2 linked regions of the Oreochromis niloticus genome follow. The protein of the gene in region 1 purifies or fractionates together with the protein of each later gene. This does not show direct contact. Links are inferred from orthologs where the notes say so. Each region holds a gene or a part of one and is shown on either strand. Other genes may lie near its edges.

The links.
Region 2: the proteins of pink1 (region 1) and vimentin A2 purify together in Homo sapiens (affinity purification with mass spectrometry; 3 studies listed by BioGRID and IntAct, with this or other methods). This does not show direct contact. The link is inferred for Oreochromis niloticus from reciprocal best matches to the Homo sapiens genes PINK1 and VIM.

What each region holds. Positions count from the first base shown.
Region 1 is NC_031984.2:8,536,018-8,548,031, reverse strand, and holds pink1 (serine/threonine-protein kinase PINK1, mitochondrial), read right to left. Parts: upstream 4,587-12,014; 5' UTR 4,469-4,586; coding exon 4,115-4,468; intron 3,654-4,114; coding exon 3,378-3,653; intron 3,249-3,377; coding exon 3,145-3,248; intron 3,046-3,144; coding exon 2,863-3,045; intron 2,672-2,862; coding exon 2,508-2,671; intron 2,402-2,507; coding exon 2,274-2,401; intron 1,997-2,273; coding exon 1,766-1,996; intron 1,541-1,765; coding exon 1,256-1,540; 3' UTR 218-1,255; downstream 1-217. Other genes in the region: trypsin-3, read right to left, coding at 7,445-7,597, 7,884-8,135, 8,202-8,340, 8,501-8,651, 9,064-9,121. UniProt on the Homo sapiens protein: Serine/threonine-protein kinase which acts as a sensor of mitochondrial damage and protects against mitochondrial dysfunction during cellular stress.
Region 2 is NC_031982.2:21,157,863-21,169,994, reverse strand, and holds the start of vimentin A2, read left to right. Parts: upstream 1-7,030; 5' UTR 7,031-7,190; coding exon 7,191-7,717; intron 7,718-7,986; coding exon 7,987-8,047; intron 8,048-9,776; coding exon 9,777-9,872; intron 9,873-10,142; coding exon 10,143-10,307; intron 10,308-10,918; coding exon 10,919-11,044; intron 11,045-11,214; coding exon 11,215-11,435; intron 11,436-11,553; coding exon 11,554-11,597; intron 11,598-11,673; coding exon 11,674-11,759; intron 11,760-11,856; coding exon 11,857-11,898; 3' UTR 11,899-12,132. UniProt on the Homo sapiens protein: Vimentins are class-III intermediate filaments found in various non-epithelial cells, especially mesenchymal cells. Vimentin is attached to the nucleus, endoplasmic reticulum, and mitochondria, either laterally or terminally.

The sequences.
Region 1 (12,014 bases):
TAAGATCAGGCAGCAACTTGTTATTTCACAAACAGTGCTAATAATATTCATCATCAAACCTAAAAATCATGGATATTACTATATCACCAATATGAGTTATTTATTTAGAAAATATCTAAAGAAAAAGGAAAGAACTTGCACAACCACTTCAGGGCTCTTTAACACTTTTATTCTGAAACACTGCAAAAAAATCGACATATATCTAAAATACGTCTTATAATCTTTTTGTAGGAATCCATATACATGCATCCCTTTCATTCTTTTTGACAGTAAATTATCCTAATATGAAGGATTAAGTCCCAATAAATTAATTATTTTGAAATCTGTATATTATATTAGCTGAAAACCACAGCTCTGAACAGGTGCAAAACATGAGCATAGAGTGCAAACATCAGCAATGTGGAACAAAGTCATATCCTTAAGATTAATTAATTACTCATGCATGACACATCAGGATCAATGTGATTCATATGTTCTAGCATTTAGGACAGGTCTATGTTCCTTAGCTGTGAAATATCAGTGTACAACTGACTGCAACACATATCCAGTGGCAACCAGATCTTCAAGGGGCAACTTTATGGACTGTGTCCTACTTGTGAACCTTTCACTTGGTCTTACCCTACACAGTAGAGTCTAACTTTAATTATTTCTAAGCTATCTGCATTGACCTCCACATTCACTGATACAAAAATTTTTCATAGTTGCAAAAAAAACCTGCATGAATGCGAGTTTTTGTTTGTTTTTTTTCCACAGGCTGATATGAAAAAGTGTATCATAATTTGGAAAACAAAATATCCACTCTCATAATAGAATTACTGCCAAGCAACTCAAATGTTGGGACAAATTAAACACAATCACTCCCCAGCAGCCGTCTCATTAATCCACAATGCATTGCACATGTAAGACAAACTGCGTTTTTGTACGATGGGTACCAATAACACTTGAATGTTTGAAGTGCTTGAATTCCTGCTGATACAGTAATGAAGGCAAGTGAAACATATTCACAAGTATGTGAGAAATGCAGATAAGTAACTTTAGCAGCATTAGAGGACACAGGTTTGAGGGTCGGATACTTGAAAAGGGAGAATCACACCACTTGGCAATTCATGATAAATACTCAAACAATACCCATAGCAATTAGATGTTACAGCTAAAAAAACATACATACCACACATACAGAAGTCTGAGTATTGAAAGCAAATTTAAGCCCCAGTTTATCCATATCAGTGACTCTCAGCTACGTGTTTGAGTAAATCTAGACAGACAGCACGCAGGCCTGGCTCTGCTCTCGCCCATAGAGGAGGAAGCCTACAGCAGTGCGCAGGTCCTCCAGCTCTAGGTTAGCCAGGAAACTCCTCTGAAGCTCCGCCTCCACTCTGTTCCCACTGGGCCCCTGACAGCCCTTAAGGAGAACCATAGCAGACTGGCACAGCAACCAATCAGCCAGCTTCCTCATGCCCACGCTGTCCTGGTTAGCCAGAGCCTTCCGACCCCAGAGGCTGAGATGTAGCATGTTAGCTGCCACACGGGCAGTGGGGCGCTGCAGAGTAAGAAGAGCATTTTTAAGTAGTGGAATGGTAGAGATGCCTTCTCAGGTAAATCTACAGAAAGTTAACTTCACAATTCCCCTTAGCGTTGAAAGAATTGTGATTTTTTTAGTTCAATATTTCAGCTTAATAAATGAAACTATATTGTTTTAGTTCTCTTTTACTGGAAATGCAGTCTGAAAACTTAAATATTAAACTAAACACAGCCACTTCTTTACCTTGTTTGGGTTCCTCCTGAGAAGTAAGCGTATCACGAACTGCACATCAGCCGGCACAGTGGAGGGTAGAGGAGGAAGCTGCTTCTCCTGGTAATTCCTGCTCTCCAGTCCCACTGCTCGATAGAATGGATTTTGCTGTCCAAATATCTCGTAGGAAATGGCGCCCACGGCCCAGGCATCCGCCTTGCCGTAGTCAAGCATCACACCACATCCTGGAACTGCAGTAGCCACCTGATGACAGGAATATTGTGAGGAATGATAGTGATTAAATATGTGGTTAGATGCAGTTGATTGAAAACAATCTATTTATATGAGTTCTTATTTATTTTAATGATTCATTTCAAAACACAAAGATACAATTAGGTTACTTGAATGGTATCCAAGTGTCACCTCTGGTTATAGCCAGAGTGGAGGTAAAAGTCACAAAATTCAGTTTTAATAGTCACCAATAAGAGACGGCGCAGCAACTGTGACTATTCATTTACAATAAAGAAATATTTAAGCCTACCTCCGGAGCCATAAGTGAAGCATTCCCTCCTTTGCTGACCCAAATGCTGTTGAAGGGCAGCTGCAGACTAGAATCACTCTGGGCCAGACAGCATCCAAAGTCAGAAATCACTAAACGGGGGCAACCATCTGCATAAAGGACAAATAAATATAACATCAGTGACCCAAACAGACCTCAAGTTGGCACAGTTTACATTTGGCTTTAAACTGTTCTGTTACTGAATTTTTTTCAGACCTGAGTCGAATTCCAACAGCACGTTGTCTGATTTTAGATCCCTGTGAGCGACACCCTCTCTGCACAAATGGTCAACCCCCTCAAGGAGCTGCAGCACCATCAGGGTGCCCTGTCTGCGGCTTGGTGTGGACATTTCCAGGTACTGCCTCAGTGTGCATGGATAGCTATGATACAGACAATCTGTTAAGTTACTGAATAAAAATGACCTGACAAGTACACTATAAAAAAAAACACAAAACAAACAAAATAATGAAAATTTCTAAAAGCAAAGACAGTGACTTTTAATTTTTTTTTTTACAATGTTTCAAGCACACATACTGCGAAGGACTGAGGTAGGTAGGAAGGTAGGTCTTACTTCTTCATGACCAGGAAAAGAGTGCGATTGTTGCCCAGGCCTGCAGGGTTAAGCCTGGGTGGCAAAACATCTGGATATTCCTCCTGAGCACCTGGTAGCAATGGAACATCTGCTGTAAAAGCCCGGTACACTCTGATCACATTAGGGTGTGCTGACACTCTTTTGGGCAGGACTCCGAAATGTCTGCATGTAGAGAAATCACAGCAATTCATGAGCATGTTTCCTATCCTTAGGTCACCACTCTGAGGCAGGAATAAAAAGAACTGAGGTTATAATACTTACCCATCCAAAGTAATTTCTTCTTTTTCCTGCTTTAAGGCATGAGGACCTGCAGGCACCAGCTCCTGAGACATAGACTTTAAGATGGCCTCACTTGATGACCCAGCCTGCAAACAAATAGCAAAATACCCATCGGTACTGATGTGTGGCTCTTTTTCATTTGTTTTCATACAGAGGAGTAAAACCTAAAACAGATGTGAAATCATCTTACACTAAACCATTAGTATACTACCCACCCCAAAGTTCCACATCATCTTAATAGCAAAAGGGAAGTTCCTTAGTGAGCAGCATGTCAGAGATCGAGGTGCCTCAGTTTCCACTTCATCTTCTTTTATCTGCACCAGGGAGCATTTTCTGGCACTTTGCTTTGGAGGAGCAAATTGAGCTGCAGCCTCATACACAGCTGCATTGGAGCCTTTCCCAATCTGGTTCCCTAGAATGTAATCCTCCAGTTTAAATCCAGAGGTGAATGGCTTGAGTGGAGCCTGGAACTTCTTCTTCCTAAAAACAGCCTGCAGGGAAAAATAATAATAATAAAATAAGCTACATAAAGATATGTTCATATCAATCACATGCTATAAACAAATTTAGTCAAGAAAAACAAAGAAACAAAAACAATCAATAGGCCGTATACAACAACTTTATAAAGCCCCAAAATCTACCTAGTTTGTTATTATAAATAATAAAAAGTAAATTAATGCAGGATTGCAATCAAGTTATCCATTTAGGCCTTAGTGCAGTCCAAACAGCATGACAAATTAAAGAAAGTACACAAATCCTTTACCTATGCATTACCCTATCAACAAAACATTCATACATTCACAAACAATATGCAGAATTGGTGAAGATACAAAGAAAACAATCCGGCAAATAACCATGAAAATAAAGACTAAAAGAAAAACGACTAGTAACAAACCACTTTACTTAAATGTCGCTTAAGTACCCTACTGTGACCTACATTTAGATACCATACCTGGATCTCCTGGCATGTTGAAGCACTCTTTCTGTCATCCTCCAGCTGTTGTTCGATGAGCCCCACACCGAGACCGAAAGCCAAAAATACAGCTCTGTTACGCGGGGACCCACCAGCAAACCTCCTGAAGCCGGCGGACTGAAGCTGAGCTGCCAGGCCTTTCAGAGAAGTGCGGTAATAGCGGTACCGAGACGGCAGGAAAGCCTGAGGCTGAGCGGTGCGGACCGACGGGCCTGCACGGAAACGGTCAGCTCGGAGCTTTGCTGCGAGTCGGCCACCGGATTTCAGGAGACCGAGCTGAAAGACCGACCGGCCCAACTCGAGTCCCCGGCTAATAGCGTGTTTCACAGACATAATTTACCCGGACAGGTAATTTAAGCTGCTACCAGGGAGTTTTACTTATGCCTAGCTTTCCACACCTAGCTCTCGAAAGGACAGCGTTATGTAAACAAAACAATAACTGCTGCTGCTGAGCATGCGCAAACCTTTAGACTGTCTTCTCTTCGCTTACCGGAGGGTGGCGTTTAGCGATCAGGTGACATATCAGGGTAGAAACACAAATACATTTATGCATGTCACAAAAACAGGGTAACCGGGGGTTCAAATTTATGCGGGGCTGCCGAGCACAATTGTCTCTACTCTAGTCTAGTCTTCTGGCTCTAGTTTACAAACGTCAACACACAAACTGTATTAAAAAAAAGTATAACAATCCAATTCCCAGTGGGGTTTAAAAGGTTGTTTACAACTTGACACAAACATGTTTGAATAGTTTCTCCCTACTTAACTACTCAAGGTGATGTAGATTTTTTTCTTTTCTTGTGTATTTGTTTTTCTTTTCTTTTTTTTCTCTTAAAAAGTCATCCAACTATCCATCTGGATACTTAATTTTATTTGAAAAATCTGACAAAAATTATGGCTTGCCTATGTGGTACAGACCATCCAAGAATTTTGTGCTTTGGTTTTGGTGAAAATCTGGTATTTTCTTAATCTGTTACTTTGCACTAATTAGTTAGTATCTGTATCTGTGCATTACACCTGTACAGTTTATAAATGAAGCCTGCTAATTAAGTTTGCTGTTTTAAGTGTTTCAGTTCATAGTTTTGTTGTATGTTGGATACAACATGTTAATTTTGTGAATTCTGGTCTCACTAGAGTCAAAAAGGAGGGTAAAGCTTTACCATGTCACTGGCATGTTGGCAAGCAAGTGTGTAGTGTCCCTCAGTTTTCACAGTCCTGATATAAGCTGTCAAAAATGCTCAGCCTGAAGCTTCACAACAGGACTTCTCTAAACATCAAGGTGGCTATGTCCATTTTTTTTTAAATGTATGATCTCACAAGAAATGTGTGGCTCAAATAAGAGATATTTTAATCATTAATCCATCACTACCAAAAATTATTAATTTACACTTAACAGTTACGACACTAGAGAGGAACCACACATGTGAGCATAATCTGTAGCATAAGACTATAAAAACAAATTTAGCTTCCATTAATACTTATAAAAAATTGGACAAATGGTAGCATTTGCTTGATCACATGATCAATACCAAACCTGCAGCATGTATAGTTTATCTCTGAAGTTCCATTGGGTAGGATCCAGTCACCTTACTGTAAACCACAGATGTAGATTTCAGATCATTTTAGAACAGAGATTTAAATGTGCAAATAAAAAAGCAGAGGGAATGCCCCTGACAGGGGTGTGTCTTCTTTTCTTCAGCAATACGTTTTGTTTACTTCCAAAGTACGAATAAAAAATTAACCATATAATATTACAAGTTCAAACGACCACCTACTCTTTTTTGGTAAATATAATTATCACACACACACACACACACACACACACACACACACACACTGTAGTGCTGTATATAGTGGTGTAATCTCAGTGAGCAGCTACACAGCTTCTCCTACAGTGCTCTGCACACAGGCAGGTTGGAGGAACCGGATGAAAAAAGGAGGGAGAGGTCACATGCTAAGACATTCTCTTAAAAAGTTTGAAAACCACCAAGGTTAAAGGCACTTTTTTACCTTTTTTTCATTTTGTGTAGATCGTTGTTTGTTCGTTTGTTGTTAGTTGTTAGTTTAGCACATGCATAACCAACTAACTAGATGAGGTCACTGTACCAAACAAGGACACTGATTTATAAAAGTCTTCATTTAACAATCATTTCCACTGGACCAGGTTGTAGATGTATCATACACACTTTTTGCACTATTTTCAACTTATACCTGGTCATAATGTTTCACTATTAAATTATAGTTAACCTCAAAAGGTTCACATGCATTTCCCAGTAATATACTTCCCAGCATGCCCTTATTTTTAATCAGAGCTTTTTAGGATATGTTGTAACTTTGTTAGGTTAACTGGTGTAGGTGTGAATGTGAGCATGAATGTTTAGGTTTAGCTTAACAACGGAAACCAGCACCAGAGAAGCTGTAATTTTTCCAGTATGCAGCAGGATAGCTTCTATATTTAGTTGTTTAGATACAGTACCCAACAACTTTATTAGGCACCCAGTGTGAGGTTAATGCCACAGCTGCCCTAAGTTTCTCTGTAACACAAGTAAATACTTTCCTTATGTTTAAAACAAGACCCGAGTTCAGTGAAGTCGATAATTTTGAGTTTTAAACAGGTTTTTGACAGATTTCTAAAATATTTGTTTGTCTATCTGCATTATGTAGCCATTTGCTATATGTTTTATGAACATATAAAGGTCAGCTCTTCTTTGTGAAGAAAAAATTGACCACTTTGTTGATTTTTATATTCTAAGCAACATTTGGCCTTTTTGAACGTTGAACACAAGAGACTGATAGAAGCATGATACAGACAATCAGCATCTTCACTGTCACTGTGGATGGGTTAGCCTTTTATTCCATACTAGTAGTAGCAAGTATCACTTGTCAGTTTATAGACCCAGTGTATTGGTCAAAACCTTCTTAAAGCTGCACTAATTGAAACTGTGATATTTACAATGAAACTTAAATACAATATAAGAGGTTTTGCTTGTAGTAAAAGGCATACTAGGAAAATTGATTCATGTGAAAACAGCAACATTGGTGATTTTTCAATAGTAATTCACTTTGAATGATTAACACAGTTACTAATTATACTGCTATAGTACCAACAAAAAATAAAAATGATATCATAATAACAAGTCTTTGTCTGTATCAATTATAATTCCTTATCGGAAAAAAGAGTGACAATCAATTAATTATAGGCGCAATATTGACATATTTCCAGGCAACATTTTAGAAATTCTAACCTTAATATTTATTCATTTCAGGACCTCTGAAAATTATGTTCATTTAACTGTTTTTGAAGAATATAGCTCATGGTGTGTTGTCAATAACCCAGTCAATCCACTGAATATAGCTCCTGACTCTGGTGTAGACACCAGGGTAGTACTGATTTGCACAGCTGATACCCCAGGAGACAATGCCCTCAAAGTAGCCATTGCAGACAAGGGGGCCCCCGGAGTCGCCCTGTGGAGTACCACAACAAATCAGGGTTGTTTTTTGATAATATAGCATTACACATTCACCCTTGAATGACAAATGTTAAATAGTATTAAAATGACACTGAAATTATATGTAAATCATCATTGGTTAAGATATATTTTTATAGCATATATAACAGGTGTCATGTTGCCTATAAATTTAAGAGGAAATATTCATTTAAAAATAGTATTACTCTACAAAACGCAGCTGCTAAATAGTAATTAAGCATAGCGCATACACATAATTAATCATGTTTTCCATGAATGTATACCTGGCAAGAGTCCTTTCCTCCGTATGGAGATCCAGCACAAAGCATACCTGGTTTGATCCTGCCCCAGTAATACCAAGTGCAGTAAGGTATTTCTCTTACATCCACAGCACGTAGCACAGGGGAGAGGGTGTAACTGTAAACCTGTGTCACTCCCCAGCCACTCACTATGCAGGTGCCACTAAAGGGAGGGGTACCTTCATCAGGTATCAGAACTGGCTGAACATATGCATTCAGCTGTGCTGGTCTGCTAAGCTGTAACAAAAACCAAAGTTAGGGTGGTGGTACCATTTTTTGTAGCTAAGTACAAGTCCTACTTACCTTAATTAGCATGATGTCATTCTCATATGTCCTGAAATTATAATTGTGTACATATATCTTTGAGACATTGAAGATCTGTTCAAATCCTTCGTTTTTGATCAGGCTGTGCTCGCATAGCACAACCCTCATAAAAGTACTCCTGTTAAACAGAAAGAGACAAAAGTTGCTCACTTAAAACGAAATGAAAATTTCACATATGTTCTTTCATAACAGACCTTCTCTCCTCTTTAATTATTAAAGATTTTCGTTAATGTTTATTAGTAAAGCTGTGTATCTTTCTGTATGGTGTCAGTACTTACGGTCTCCAGCAGTGGGCAGCAGACACCACCCACTCTGGGTGAACTAGCGTGCCTCCACAATAGTGTTCCCCGACCTCAGTCTGAAGGGATGCCTGATATTTGATAGAGTATGGTTCGACCTCCTGACCCCCGATGATCCTTCCTGTATTCTCTGTAAACAGTGATGAAAGATAGAGCGAATCAGACAATTTGTCTCTATATTTTACATTCTTTTGGTTTACAACAAAAAAGATAAATTGTCAGGGTAATGTGCCTTAACAAAAAAAAGCAGAATATTCTAGTAAGTTTCTTAACTTAAAGAAGTCCAGTTGCTTTCTTTCCAAGCTCCTTAGAATATTCCAGTACTGTATTCATTTCTACAGTATTGTCTGACTTCATAAACTCAGTCAGACAGCAGTATTACAGCCACGTCACAGGAAATTTCTCCCGATCGACTAACATGTCTGTTTTTGTCAGCTCTTTTAAAGTCCTTGTGTATTACTCTTTGGATCTAAACATTGAGACTAGGATTTCATATCCTTTGCTAAGTGTCTTGGAGTAAAAAATTCAAAGATATAACTCACGTGAATTTACTGAAAAAGACAAAAGAAGCAGCACAGTAGTGATTTGCACAGCAGCCATATTGTAATTGTTACCTGTAACACAGAACAACGACAGCTAGCAGCTTCTATATACATAAATTACTGTCATTTTAATTGCTTGTGCTAATGATCTATAAATTATTTGCTTAGTTTTGCTTAATTTGGTTATTTTGCTTTGCTTAAAAAATGTATTGCAACAATTCCGCTCAAAAAAATACAGCACTTAATGACCATTTAATTAAATTCTTTTGAACAATGAGCTTTTATTTTTAAAATGCAGTTAGACTGTGATTTTTTTTAGACAATTGAACATTAATTACAATTTCACTAAAAAGGGTTACAATTAAATTTCGCTTACCTGAAAGTCTAGACACAGGAAGCTTCAGAGTATCTCCAAATGATGAGACCAATGCTCTCCTCTTTCTTTTTATAGTGTAACTATAGCCTTGTCAAGATCTTTTGTTTAAATTATCTTTTCGTCTTGTTGTGTTCTGTAACCATCTCACGCTCCTACAATGAAACTGACCTACAACCTGACAAAGCTAAGGTGTTCCATGTCCATTTCTAAGCTCAAGTTTTATACTTGCAGTTTTTAGGTTGGCAACGCCTCTACAGGATCAACAATATCTCCAACAGTTATTGCTCTATTAAATGTTGATAATGTTTTTCCTCCATGATTATGTAGGATATAAAATAATAAAGTTAGAAAAGTCACACTGGCAAGATTAACTTCACTTCAAAACTAAAAAACACAAAAGACAGAAGCACTTCCAGTTCCTATGATTCATTTTATGAACATCTAAAAAATCCGAATATTATTTAAACATCTCAAAATTTCAAATGTTTCAATTTCAGTGTGTGAATGTGTGTTTGAATGGGTGGATGACTGAATCTGTAAAGCGCTTTGGGGTCCTTAGGGACTAGTAAAGCGCTATACAAATACAGGCCATTTACCATTTACCAAATGTATTAGTTGAGATTTAAATGAAATAACTGGACATCACAGACAATGATAAACAATTTACTGGCTAAGAGTATATTGCTAAACTCTGGCTTTATGGTGTTTGTGTTAATGCAAACTAATAGAGATAAAATACAAACAATGGTTGGTATTATTTTCTATGAAGACTCTGACTTCCTCCCATAGTCCAAAGACACTTAGACTAAATTACTCATAGGTGTGAATGTGAATGGCTGTCTGTCTCTCTGTGTTAGCCCTCTAAATGGCTGGTGATGTCCAGGATGTACCCCGCCTCTTGCCTTACGGTAGCTGGGATAGGCTCCAGCCACCTATCAAACTCCCTCCCAAGGATAAGCGAAAGAGAGTGGATGAACAGAATATTAATTATAACCACATAGAGACTTTGTCGTCTTCAAAATTTTCAGAAGGAATTCAGGAGAAATATCTGTCCTTTAGAAAGATTTAATTTACTTCAGCAGTTGAAATTACAAGTTTACTGTGCTGGAACGCAGTGTGATAATCTACCTCACACCAAGGATAACCGTGAGACGGGCTGCACAGATTATATACTGTGACAGTAAAAAAGATTATCATGGCTAGACAGACACACAACACACCCCCTGCGTGGTCTTGATTATCTATATTATCCATTATTCTTCAGCTGATTCTAAGGCCCAGTTCAGGACATCTTGTTCAGGCTTCCTGACTCAGAGACTATTCAAACCATGATCGTGTGTGTGTGTAAGCATGCTGCAAAAAACCCTCTGCACTCAGCATCACTAATAATATTTCAGCCCAGTCACAGCGTTGGATGAAACTTTTCATCATCAAAACATGGAGCGCCAACACGTTTATGAGCACATTTGCATTGTGTATGAATAAGATAATAAAACAGCTTTATTTAATAATTTTATAAACAATTAATAATTTTTCAACCCTAACAACTTCTTAAGATTTCTTCTCTGTTGCTTGCCCCTTTCAGCTCTGTCAGAGTTTTATAGTGTAAGGCCACTGGACACAAGCTCTTTATGATTTTCAGCCCTAGAGTGATGCTTGTCAGCTTATGCACACAGTGTACATCGTGTTCTTTCCATTACAATGGGGCTTAGACTATACTCAGGCTGTCTGTTGTACCTCACCTCCAGCTTCTGTTACACACAATTTTAATATGTCAGTGATTTACGTCTTTAACTAGAGTAATGCATGTTATAATAATAATTTGGTTGAACAACAACCTTTGATAGCACTCTCACTTTGCGAAACTGTTTATTATCTTCATTATTTGCATCGTTGCCTCTTTACTCCTATAGACTCCATCTAAACAGCTAAAGCGCTACTGTGCCCCAACAGAAACCTAAGTCCTTGAACTTTTTTGTGCATAAACACAGCAAATAGTTTAGTAGTCAAGGATCTAATTAAAAGGACTATATTTCTTGTGAAAGTCTTTCTATACTGCAGAATGCATAATTCATTATTTCATTTTCTTGGAATAATACTAATAAAATAAACAAAGCCATGCCTAAAGAACAAAGTACAAACACTGTAGTTCACCTCACTGCACTTTACTTAAGCCTCAAGTTCAGTGCAACCTAGATTTTGAAACTAGTTTTTGGGGGCTTAACCTTTACGTGCAAAATTCAAAATGTATTGACGAATAGCTGAGGCCACCTAGTCCTGGCTTCTTGCCATTTAAGATCTATAATAAATGCCAATGTAGCTGATTTTTGGATGTCTCTTTGTATCTGTAAATTGCAGTAAAATATGATGTCTTTCCTTGTTCTGAGCAACATTTTTGGTATGTGCAATATTTTGGTCTCAGTGGAATTACCATCCCCACTCTAAATGACCATAGTCCCTCCACACTTATTTATTTATTTATATTATATAACTGCCCTTGTATATAGCCCCACAATGTTTCTGTTTCAATGTTTCTATGCATACACCATGTATATAGTTTACTCACATATATGTA
Region 2 (12,132 bases), on another chromosome or scaffold:
CCTATTTTCCTTCTCCCTCAAATCTCTTGAACATCAGGAAATGAAAAAATAACTCAGTCTGCAATAGAAAGCAGATTTCATTGCTTGTATTCTTTCACTGCTTGTTGGGGTTTGTCCAGAACATTTATTTCTAATAGCTGTTTCATCTTTTTATGTTAAAGAACTGATTTACTTACAAAAATTCTAAAAGTTATAGATTTCTTACCCAGGCTCATTTAATCAGCAGGATATATGCTACTTTATGAGACAGTGAATTGGACTACTGTAGTACTGGCTTTTTACTTTAGGGTTTGGTTGAGGCCAAAAATAGAGTACAAAGGAGTGAAACTGATTGGGTGAACAAAAAACTGATACTGTTGCTTTGGTTCTGTAATAATTGAATGCTTTCTTATTTTATCAGCATATCAGGATGTGTTCAAGTGATCATCAGGATCGCCAATGATAGAAAAGTGAACATTTTCATTTCTGAGTTTGAACTTTTTTATGTGCCTTCTTTTAACACCCACACTTTGGGTGTGAGTTGCAATGTTGTATGTACAGTCAGTATTTAACTTACATTGCTATCTCTATTAAAGGTGTATCTGTGTTTTAAGCCTGTGTTTACATGTTCACACATCCACAGTGGATTCTGCATTGGAAACAGAAGATTATTTTTGGCGGTTTTATTAGCCTGGCTACCACTCTATCCATCGCCTAATCAGTCAGCCGGTCAATCAATCAATCGTCACATCAGCGAGTCAGTCTGTGAGTTTGTCAGCTTGATTTTTAGAAAGATTTAGGTGAGAAACGCCGGTGGGATGTTATTCTCTCAAATAGAAAATTGACTAATGTAGCCCAGTTATAAGCAGGAGTTAAAAAAGGCAGCTCAAAAAATATACACTCATCCCTGTCTCCTCAAAATACTTTCAGGGTTGAGTTATAAAATAGTGAAAATAATCCTATTTGTGTTGAGTGCCTAGAAGCATCTCTGGACTCTGGTGATATTTGACTTTGGTTCCAACTAAGTGAAGCATGTGAATTTTGAACGAGCCGTAGGCTTACATTACTCCATTTATCCTCTAAACTATTAAAAGATTTACTTCAATAGCCTGATTTTGGACACAAAATTGTTATCTACTGGTTGTTGTTTTAAGTCTGTGTTTTAGTCCGTGTACACTATGTGAGTCTCACTCATCCTCGGGCAGGTGAAGGTGCAGAGGAGAGTGCGAGTCATCTGCAGCTGTCACTCGGTGTCAGCAATGGCCCCCTGATGCAGTCAGGCATATGCAAGTGACACTTGATGTGATCATCACTGACAGGCTAGCTTGTAATATGCGTGACCAGAGGGATGTTATCCTTGAAACAAGTCTGACCAGACGACTGCAGGTGTTAATTTGAACAGGGATAATTCATTTCGACATTTACATGCTAAATATTTGACAGGCTACACATGATGATTTTATGGTAATGTGAAGGGAGAATGCTGGGAAATGCTATTAGTGTGTGTGGGTGTTTCCGCTCCCTGTCCCTGACCCTTCCCTGCAATCACACATGGACACGCACAAACACACACACAAGCACAGAGTGAGACAAAGAAATACAGAGACAAAGAGAATGGGAGAGAGAGGTCTTTACAAAGTGACCATTCTGGATACTTTCCAAGGGTTTTGTCAGTCACTATGGAGATTTGGAAAATAGCCCTTGCACTTTAATTCCTCTGTTGTTACCATGGTTCAAAGGTATCCAGTGGAAGCGAAATGAGCACACATGCCTACTCTGTGCATTTTGCTTACCATTGACAGAAAAGATCCAGTAAGCTTAAAAACAGCAGTAAAACAGGCAGTATCGCTAAAACTAATGTTCAGTACTGTGCAAAAGTCTTGACCACCCATTATTTCTTTATATGTTGCTTCTAATGGAGCCAGACTTTCTTGTAACTTTTAAAGTGCTCTTGGTGAAGAGTTCTCCAGGCATTGTGAAGGTCTTTCAAAGTTTTTCTTTGGACCTTTTGCAGTCCAGTTCTTGAGCCTGACCATTTTCAGAGGATTTTTGGTTTTGTTTGTTTAGTTGTCAAGTGACTTAGGACTAATCTACAAGTCACTCAAGCATAAAAAAGACCCTAAACTGGACAAGTGAGAGACAAAAAAAAAATCTACACCAGATAAACAGTATCTGAAAGTTATGTCCTGAAGAAATAAGTGAAAATTCCAACAAAGACCTGATACAGAACCTGACCTCAGCTCATCCATCTACTGTTCGCCGAAGCCTCATCAGAAATGGTCTCAGTGGAAAGATGGATATCAAGAATCCATTTTGAAGGAAGGGAAACAGGGAGAAAAGGCTGGTATGCCTAAATACACAAGAACTGCTATGAAAATCAGTATCAGGTCTGATGGTGTACTGAATATAAATTGGAAATGTCAACATCATTGAAGCAGGTTGGGATCATCTTGACAGAGAACGGAACAAACAGCAGTCAACATCCAAAGAAAAGGTTTGAATGTCCTTTAAGAAGCCTGGAGAAATATTCTTGAAGACTACTTAAAGACGTGACATGAAGAATAAAGGTGATCATACCAAATATTGACTTTCAAGTTTATTACAACTGTACAAACTGCTTTTGGTTTACACATATACTTTATTTCTATGTAAGTTTGCACGTTTCAATAAACTGCTGCACTGATTTCCCATGTTCCTAGAAAAACATAAATAAATGAAGAGTGGCTCAAGACTTTTGGACAGTATTATACAAACTCTGCATTCAAACTCATGTACTACAAGTAACAGCAACCCTAAAGTTGAAATGCAAAAGCACTGATTGTGCGGTATTTCATATACCTGGTTATGAGGTTACAGGTGCTTGAAGAATCTGTTTTCTTTGGACATCAAGATTTTTTTTTTCCTTTTTTTAATGAAACCATCTGGGCAGTGAAATATCTCTCCAGTGGAGCTGCTTAGATGCTTTTGAAAATGTGACAATATAATAAAGTTTGTCAAATGACTCCGGCTCTATAATCTCAGGACTGTCTGCAGCACATGTAGCAGCGCACACATCCCATCTGAGCAGACAGTGGTGTGCACTGCAAGGAGTTTCTTCATGGTAAGTTTCTCAGCAGTATGTAAATCTGCAGCATGAATCAGCCACATTTGAAAGGACCTGCAATGTGTAAACCCCACTCTGTGAAACCAATACAGTCCTGACCTATCGGAGGAAGGACACCACTGTGTGTGTCACTGACCCTGACAGCAAGTCCTTTGGGGCCTGTGGTTTGGGGTGGGACATCTGTGGATTGAGTTTGTGAACATCTCTTAGATCAGGGAATGTCCTTGTTTAGGTGGTGTATGTCTAAATAACATGCAGAGGTTTTCCTGTAGAACACAACATTGTGTAGTAGACTGGTGTTTGATGTGATTTTTCTTGCTCTCTAAAAATTAGCATTGACCACATGAATCCAGTTTTAAACAGGCTCTACTTTCCTCCACTGATAATAACCTGACTCTCACACTGACTTGACAAATGCCCACTGAAGGCCCTGCCGTGGATTTACAACCTTTCTTTCTCACATTAAGGTTTACGTCTGTCTGCTCTCCGTGCATTAACTCATGTGCAGCAAATACTTTGTGCTGAGATTCTGCCTACAATAATCTGAGCGGCCATGACCCGCAGAGATACTGACCAATTTAAAAAGCCCAAAGGACAAAAAAAGAAAGAGAGACTTTTTGCAATCTTCTCACCACAATAACTAATTTTCACAACCTTATAGCTGAACACATCACTTATGTCCTGTGAGAATCGATGAACAGTGGCTGCACTGTCTCCACTTTAGTTCTGGTAAATAATGTTGGGGATGATCGCTATGGCTACTGGTGCGCACGGGTTTGTGATTCACCATCATGGGAGATAAAACAAAGGGTTCCTTTTTGCTTTTACCCTGCAGTTTTGAAGGGACCACACCCAGAAATAAGATTTAACTTATCTGTTGCCCTGCGCCATTACAGAGTGACTGACTCTGACTGATGTCGAGTCTTATTTGATTCTTTTTGTACGCCTCCTTTAATTAGCTCCCCCGCAGGGCTGTTGCTTTGGAGCAGAAAAGCGGAATCTCAGCAACAAAAATAAAAAGACCAAGCGATAAATTCCCAAGAATGGGAGCTATTTGGCCCAAACTGTTGCACTGTCAAGCGCCGTGCTACACACAATAATTACGGCCTACTGTCTGCATTCTCTTGATGCAGTTAGGTGACAGATCAGCAATACACAATCCCTGCTCTGTTTGTGTCAATCCAGGCCTCCTCTGTCTCTCTCTGTGGCCAATACTGGCAGAGCGGGATCATAATGGGCCTGGGAGCAGGAATTTTCATGGCCCCCACCCTGTTACTAAGTGAGCGTTGATCATGTGAATTTCCGTAGCCGCTTTTGGTAATGGGCGTCCACTGTTTTACTCCGACCACGGCCTCATGTTTGCATGCTCAAGTACCACAAACCACTTCAGTTATTATGCTTTTGCCTATCATTTCTCCAGTTTCAAAAGTTTGGAATTAAAGTTTTGAAGTTCTCTTTAGATTTTAATGTTTCACTTTAATACTAAAACATCTGCAGGCCATATTGTACAAAATCTTCCTTGATACCTTTAACTGCATTTTGCCCTTTATGCTGAAAGTTAACTAGAGGAAAATTTTGCATGTTTTCCTTATTTGATTCATCCTTGCATGTCTTTGGCAAATGCCCTTTTGTAAGATTTGATGCTTCTTTAAATCCCATTAAAAAAAGCAAAAATTTAAATGGCTTTAGACACAGATCTGACCACACACATAAACTTTATCAACTTCACAAAGGTTTGTTTAAAAATAGGAAATACTTACACAATCTCACTTTTCAGGATAGGATTCAGTGACAGCCATCTTGTAACAACACAACATGCATGCTAAATTAAGAAATTAAAAAAACTGCTCCAAAACCCCCAAATCAGTATCAAAATTGACTTCAAAACAATTAACTTCTCATACTGTGATTTTATTGGATTCGTTTATATAATTGCACAAATAAAGAAAAGACAAATAATTATTAAACAGAAATGTGGGACTGCTTTCTTGCACTTGCACAATAGCTCTAAAATTTGAAACATCCTGTCTCAGAGTGATGCTGAAAAAATATTTCATGCATTTATACTTTTCTATTGACTAGTGTAATTTATTATTATCAGACTGTGCTTAAAAACTCCCCAAAAAGCCTTAAGTTGATTCAAAATGCTGCAGTGAGAGTACTGAAAGAGACTAGAAAGAGAGAGTATATTTCTCTATGCATAGTACTGCATAGTACTGTATCACCTCAAAAGAACACTCCCTGAGTCTGGCTCTACCTGAAGCTTCTTCCTATTAAATGGGAGTTTTTCCATCCCACTGTTGCCAACTTTTTCCTCATAGGGAGTCATCTGATTGGTGGGATTTTCTCTGTATTATTGCAGGCTCTTTACCTTATAATATAAAGCACCTTGAGGTGAATGTGATTTCATGCTATAAAAATGAATTGAATCGAATAAAAAAAATATTGACCCCTGATATTGCTGAGAATATATACAGTGCACACATAAAGCTTCTCAGTGCCTTTCAGGTTATGCCCCAGAGTCATGTAAACATAGATTCAGATGATTCTTTCTCATTTATCTGCACACTCACATTATTTTCTGCACATTCAAAATCAAAAAGCAAACATTTTGTGTGTTCTGGTAATTTATTCAAAATGAGAGAGGTGAAATCCAATTTATACAATCACCATTTACTTCTTACTTGATTAACACGCTTTTGGGCACAAACGTCGACTAGAATATCTGTGCACAGCCTTAACAAATATGGCACAGATAAGGACTATGAGAATAAAACCAACAGCTTTAAACAGTCAATCTGCTTAGACAAAGCCAGGCTATAATTTGAAGTTTGCGTCACAAAGATCAAACAAGCTCACCGAGTAGCTGGGTTTATTACTGCACAGTCATATCTCAGGGGCTGCACGCCAGCTTCAGATAACCGCAGTCACCCTCACCCGCAAGCCAAAAATCTGAAAGTCTCCCTGAAAGAGATATTTGTGCATTCAGTCTTATCTAGTGAAAAAACGTCACTAAAACCAATTTGTTCTCCTGTCTTGGACTTATTTTATGTTTACTAAAGAGCAGATAACGCTCAGCAGCACCAGTGCAGCACAGTTGGGAGGTGTTAGGTGTCACTGAATCACTGAATCTCAGCAAGTCAGCAGCACTGCAGCACTGACAGCCCTGTGCACTGAGAAGGGCAAAAGACAGAGGAGGGGAAAGAAGGAAAGAGCTTTTGGACACAAAGATTAGTCCTTACGGAAATATCTCATTATTTTCGTTGCAAGTCAGTCTGAGAAGAGGGTGACAAATAATACACCCCAAACAAAAGCTTCAGGAATGCAGCAAACCTGCCAGTATTGAATGACTTTGACTCATATCCCCCAAGCTCTCTGTTTTTCTCTCCTAGGATTAGTGTGTGACATCATCAGACTTGTTCTTTAAACCTGATTAACCGTTGTGTGAGGCTGCTGACTTGCACATACTTTACTAGACCTGTATTTCTCACCCAAGCAAACACCCTTCACCAAAATAGTAGACATATGTAAAACACTACGGCATTACACTTAGACATGTAGTCATACACTGAATATGCTTAGTGCTGACATGGGTGCATTGCTTATAAACCCTAACTTGTTTTCTTTACAATTCTCAGCATTGTATGATGAAAAAAGTCCTTTCCTCTTGTGGGTGTTAAAAATGTCACTGTTTCATCTACAGTAAGTGAGAGTGTAAAATCATTCATTGTGATGTTTGGTGTCCCAGTAAAAAATTAAGATGAGCGTTAAAGTTCGGGCAAACTTGCTGAGAGTAGTCTCAAATGTGTGCAAAATCTTCAGGATCAACATCTCGGACGCAACAGCACAATCCAATTACTTTAGGCTACTGTATCCGAAGAGTTGGTGTAAATATCTGTGAGTCTGACAGGCAAATATGTGTGCTCTGATTTGCGATTGGATTCTCAATGTGCCACTCAAGTCACTGTTACGTATTTGCATAAGGAGGAGACTATAAATGAGTAACGGTTTAGGAAACGCCTTCCCAGGCGCACTCCGCGGATGCTGATAGAAACAAGATATATTCCAGATCGGCGACAGTGCTCTGGTACTTAAAGACACAAACAAGATGGCCTATAGATCAGGTCCACATTCCTCTTACCGAAAGATGTTCGGCGGGGAGAAAACCGCCGTAAGGTCCAACTACTCGAGCCGCCAGTTTTCGATCCCGGTGCGCTCCTCCCGGGTTTCCTTCGGGCTCTCCTCCACCCCGACCATATACGCGTCGAAGACCCAGAGGCTCCGGAGCAGTGCAGCCATGCCCCGGCTGGCATCCGAGAACTTGGACTTCTCCTTGTCTGACGCCATAAACTCCGAATTCATCACGAACCGCACCAACGAGAAGGCGCAGATGCAGTCCCTCAATGACCGCTTCGCCAACTACATCGAGAAGGTTCGCTTCTTGGAGCAGCAAAATAAGATCCTACTGGCGGAGCTGGAGCAGCTGCGGGGCAAAGGGACGTCCCGGGTCGGAGATCTTTACGAGGACGAGATGAGGGAGCTGAGACGCCAGGTGGACCAGCTCACCAACGAAAAGGCCCGCGTGGAAGTTCACCGGGATAACCTGGGGGACGACATCGACAGGCTGAGAGAGAAGTAGGAGGCGTGGCACTTTTCTGTCCTCAACTCCATGTATTGTTTCTTTTGTTGTCTAGACCTGTTATTCAGCTCTGGTACATTACAGAAATCTTTATTAGTTAGAGCCTAAACAGACTGTGTATAGAGTGAGAGTATGTAAACATAAATTCTTACCCTGCACTGCGCAAAAAGTTGTTTTTCGTGCTTAAAGGAGAAGTGATGATTTTTAAGTGTATATTTACAGTGGCTGCTGAAATAAAGGTTCTGCTTTATGCCTTTCTTTACAGGTTGCAGGATGAAATTTCCCAGCGGGAGGAGTCTGAGGCAAACATGCAGAGCTTTAGACAGGTACAGCTCTACACTGGTGACAGCAGCCAAAAACTGCAATAGATGGACATTTTGAGGGTGATAAAGAGAAGTGTCTTAGATCTCAAGGGCAGACCTACAGTGCCTCATATTCTCAGCTGTTTTTGGTTCAATTAAGGTTTAAGCAACCAAACTGATGGAAAGTGATGTGAAAGTAATCGGATAAACCTTTATCCTTAATATGAAGATTAACTTTCTCTTTTCTTTTCTGGGTGATCTCTCTCTAATTATTGCCCATGAGCTGTGGAGACAGGAATGCACTCTTCTGATGGCACAACAGCAGATTCTAGGCATGATCCAAAATAGCTGTAGAGCAGTGACTGACCCTGGACTGGTACAAAAGGCTAAGTTGTGACTGTTGAGTTAAATCAGGCCTGCAGCGAGAGGAGATCTTTTTAAGTCTGACTGGTCACAATGAATGAGCCGGACACAAGGGCAACAACAGTGTGGATCCAATGTGGTTATCAGAGCGAGAAGACAAGCCACCATGTGATCCGGCTGTCTCGTTCTGGGAGAGCATCAGCACAGAAAAATCTCACTTGTTATGGTCCTGTCAGAGATTGTTCCATATCACTGGTTTTCACAGGGATGAGTCATGCAGACAGTTTCCAAAGGTTGTCAAGGCATAAAAAGGTGAAAAAGAAAGTTGTCATCCCACCAATGTAGTTTAAATGTTAGACTCATGATGATTATATGCCTTTTAGGACTTGCTTTAAGTGATACATACGTTACACAGTCATGGCATTGTCTGTGTGAATGGGAGGAAGGAAGTCCCTGTGGTCTGCCTGAGTGGCACACTGACAACAATGCAGTGCCCACAGCCAGCTCTTGCTCAGTCAGGCAGACAGTCACTCTCTCAGCCTTGGGCTTGTTTGGGAACCCCTGCTGAATAGCACACTTTGTTTGTGGCATTAGTGCAGAGGCAAAGCTGCTTCATTTGCTGATACCTCAGTTGCCAGCCTGCCAACGCCCCAACAAAGCCATGGTGCCACAGCCAGTCTGTATGTATGATTAAGTATGATAAAACAGAAGACTGCTTTATGAACTTTATTCAGTAATGTTATAAAATGATAACAAGCAAAATTAGTTACCAGTAGGAGAACTGGAATTCCACTGGAGAAAACTGCAAGGCATTGCAGGTTAGGTTATTAATAACCTCTTTAATAATTTGTTGTGGTTCTGGGTATTCTCCAGTACTTAGAAAAAATTTCACTGAATTCTGTCCAGCCTTTTCCCACACCCAAAGAATGTCAGGCCAGCAGCTATAGAGGTTAATTTGTTTGTTTTATTGTATAGTAATCAAACTCAGGCTCCATCTGAGCTCAGGAATCATAGAGCAAAAGATAAAATAACTGTGCCAAACAAATGTAGATGAGAAAAAGTCACTTAGTTTCTTGAAATTGATTACAGTGCTTATGTGCAATATTTGAGCAAAGGTCTGCCGAATTGTATAACGACACGAGAAAACACCTACTCATCTGTTACCAACATCTGCAAGGACATGTCATGTGCCCACAGTTGATTTTCATTGGATGCATGTGTTTTTGACCTTAATCAACCATACAATGGGTCATTTTGTGCACTGGATTGTGTGAGGGCTTTTTACAGCATGTGCACAAGAGGGGTTTTTTTTCTTTGTCAGCAAGCACATTATGCATAACTCATGTCACCTTCACAAGTCACCTTATTAAGAGTCAGTGTTATCGTACAGGATGTGGACAACGCTGCCCTCGCCAGACTGGACCTGGAGCGGAAAGTGGAGTCACTCCAAGAGGAAATCAACTTCCTCAAGAAGCTGCATGATGAGGTAAGCCTTCCTTTTTTGTTGCCTAAGCTAAATCGGTCTACTGCAGAAGCACTGCACGTGTGCAGCCCGTGAGGAAAAAGGTACTTTTAGAAAAACTGGGCCAAATAGTTTGAAATATTTGTTAATCTGCTCAAGCGCCACATCAGCAGGGTTTAGTTTCAAAAGCTTTTTTAAGTCTTTAAGGCTAATTGCACAAAAGCATACAAAATAACTGTTAAAAAAAACTTCCTGTGCTAACAGTACAAACTGACTCTGCTGAATTTGCTGCAGGAAATGTTGGAGCTGCAAAATCAGATCCATCAGCAGCAGCATGTGCAGGTGGACATGGATATAGCTAAGCCTGACCTGACAGCGGCTCTGAGGGACGTCCGTCTGCAGTATGAGAACCTGGCCTCCAAAAACATCCAGGAATCAGAGGAATGGTACAAATCCAAGGTAAAGGCATTTTAGAGAAGCATATTTAACCAAGCGCAGTAACATGAACTTCAGCTTCAAAATAATCCCACATTCAACTCATGAATTTTTTATGTTTTTATAGTAATAACATCACCATTTATGTAACTAAACACCAGAACCAGTAGATATTAGGCCCAAAATTTATCAGGAAGGCCAATAAAAGACTAACAAGTGTCACTAATGTTTCTTTGTATCTGTTTGACAGGTAAAAAAGTAAGTGTTTGCTAACAAATTCACCGTATAAATGCAACATCATTTGTCCAAAATATGTGATTAGTTTTTCTTATCTTAAAAACTGATTATACATTAGAATGCTGAGAACTAGCAAGGTATAAGCAATCCTCCTTTCTGCCGTTCGAGCACTAGTGGAAAGTCAGTAACCTTAAAAGTGCCTCAGAGCACTGGTGCCGCAGTGGTAATCCCTGCAAGGCTCTGTCGTGGCTACATCTTTCATAATTTACACACTTCATGAAAACTGCCGTACTCCCATCTCCTTCAGCCTCTGACTCATCATTTATTGAAGAGTTGATTTCTCATTTTTTCCTTCTCTTCCTCTGTCTCTCCTCTCTGTTTGTCACTGTGATTACCAGTTTGCTGACCTCACTGAAGCTGCAGCTAGGAATAATGAAGCTCTGAGAGTGGCCAAACAGGAGTCCAATGATTACAGACGCCAAGTTCAGGCACTTACTTGTGAAGTGGATGCCCTGAAAGGAACTGTGAGTTTGCAGTTTTTGGCTGCAATATAGAAGATACAGAATATATATAAAAATATTCAACATTTGTAAAACTGGAAGCAAAGGGGGAAAAAACTGAGCACAAGTTCAGAAAATTAACTTGAACTTTTACTGCAAAAGCGTCTTTTGTTCTGTCTTGGCTGCCATCCCAGAATGAGTCCTTGGAGCGCCAGATGAGGGAGATGGAGGAGAACTTCTCCTTGGAGACGAGCGGGTACCAGGACACCATCAGCCGTCTGGAGGAGGACATTCACAACATGAAGGATGAGATGGCCCGTCACCTCCGCGAGTACCAGGACCTGCTAAATGTCAAGATGGCTCTGGACATTGAGATTGCCACCTATAGAAAGCTGCTGGAAGGAGAGGAGAGCAGGTGATGGGAGAAGCATTTTCCGAAATGCAGTAATCTGCAATACAGATATGAACACTCATTTGATTCAAGATTCAAGATGCTGATCTTAATTAGTGAGCTGTATTTTCTCTGTCTGCAGAATCTCCACCCCCTTGCCAAACTTCTCATCTCTTAACCTGAGAGGTAAGATTCTCCGTGCTTATTTTTACAGTTGGAATTACAGTTTTTGCCAGTTTCTAACGATACTTCTCTGTCTTAGAAACAATGGTTGACTCCAAACCACTTATCGAAACCACAACAACCAAGAAAGTCCTCATCAAGACCATTGAGACCAGGGATGGTCAGGTAGAATACGCTTAAAGAGATCTTTCACTTCATACAGGCACATACAGATATATCCCTGCTCAACATCTTTTCTCTCTCCCTCTGCACCCTTGTTCAGGTGATCAACGAGTCGACCCAGAACCACGATGACATGGACTAATAATGTCCTTGTCTTTACCAAACCACCAACAAAAAGCAATAAGAAGAAACACATTTCACTCGGGCTACAAGCAAGCAAACAAGCCAACAACACACAAAAAGCAAACAGCTTCGAGAAGTGCCTTTGTATGTGGTGATCCAGTAAGCCTGTTAGTTGACACAGACTGTATTTTGCTTCCTTGGCCGCAGCAAGTATTTTGTCACAGTTGTTTAGACACAATAATGAAGTCAGCAC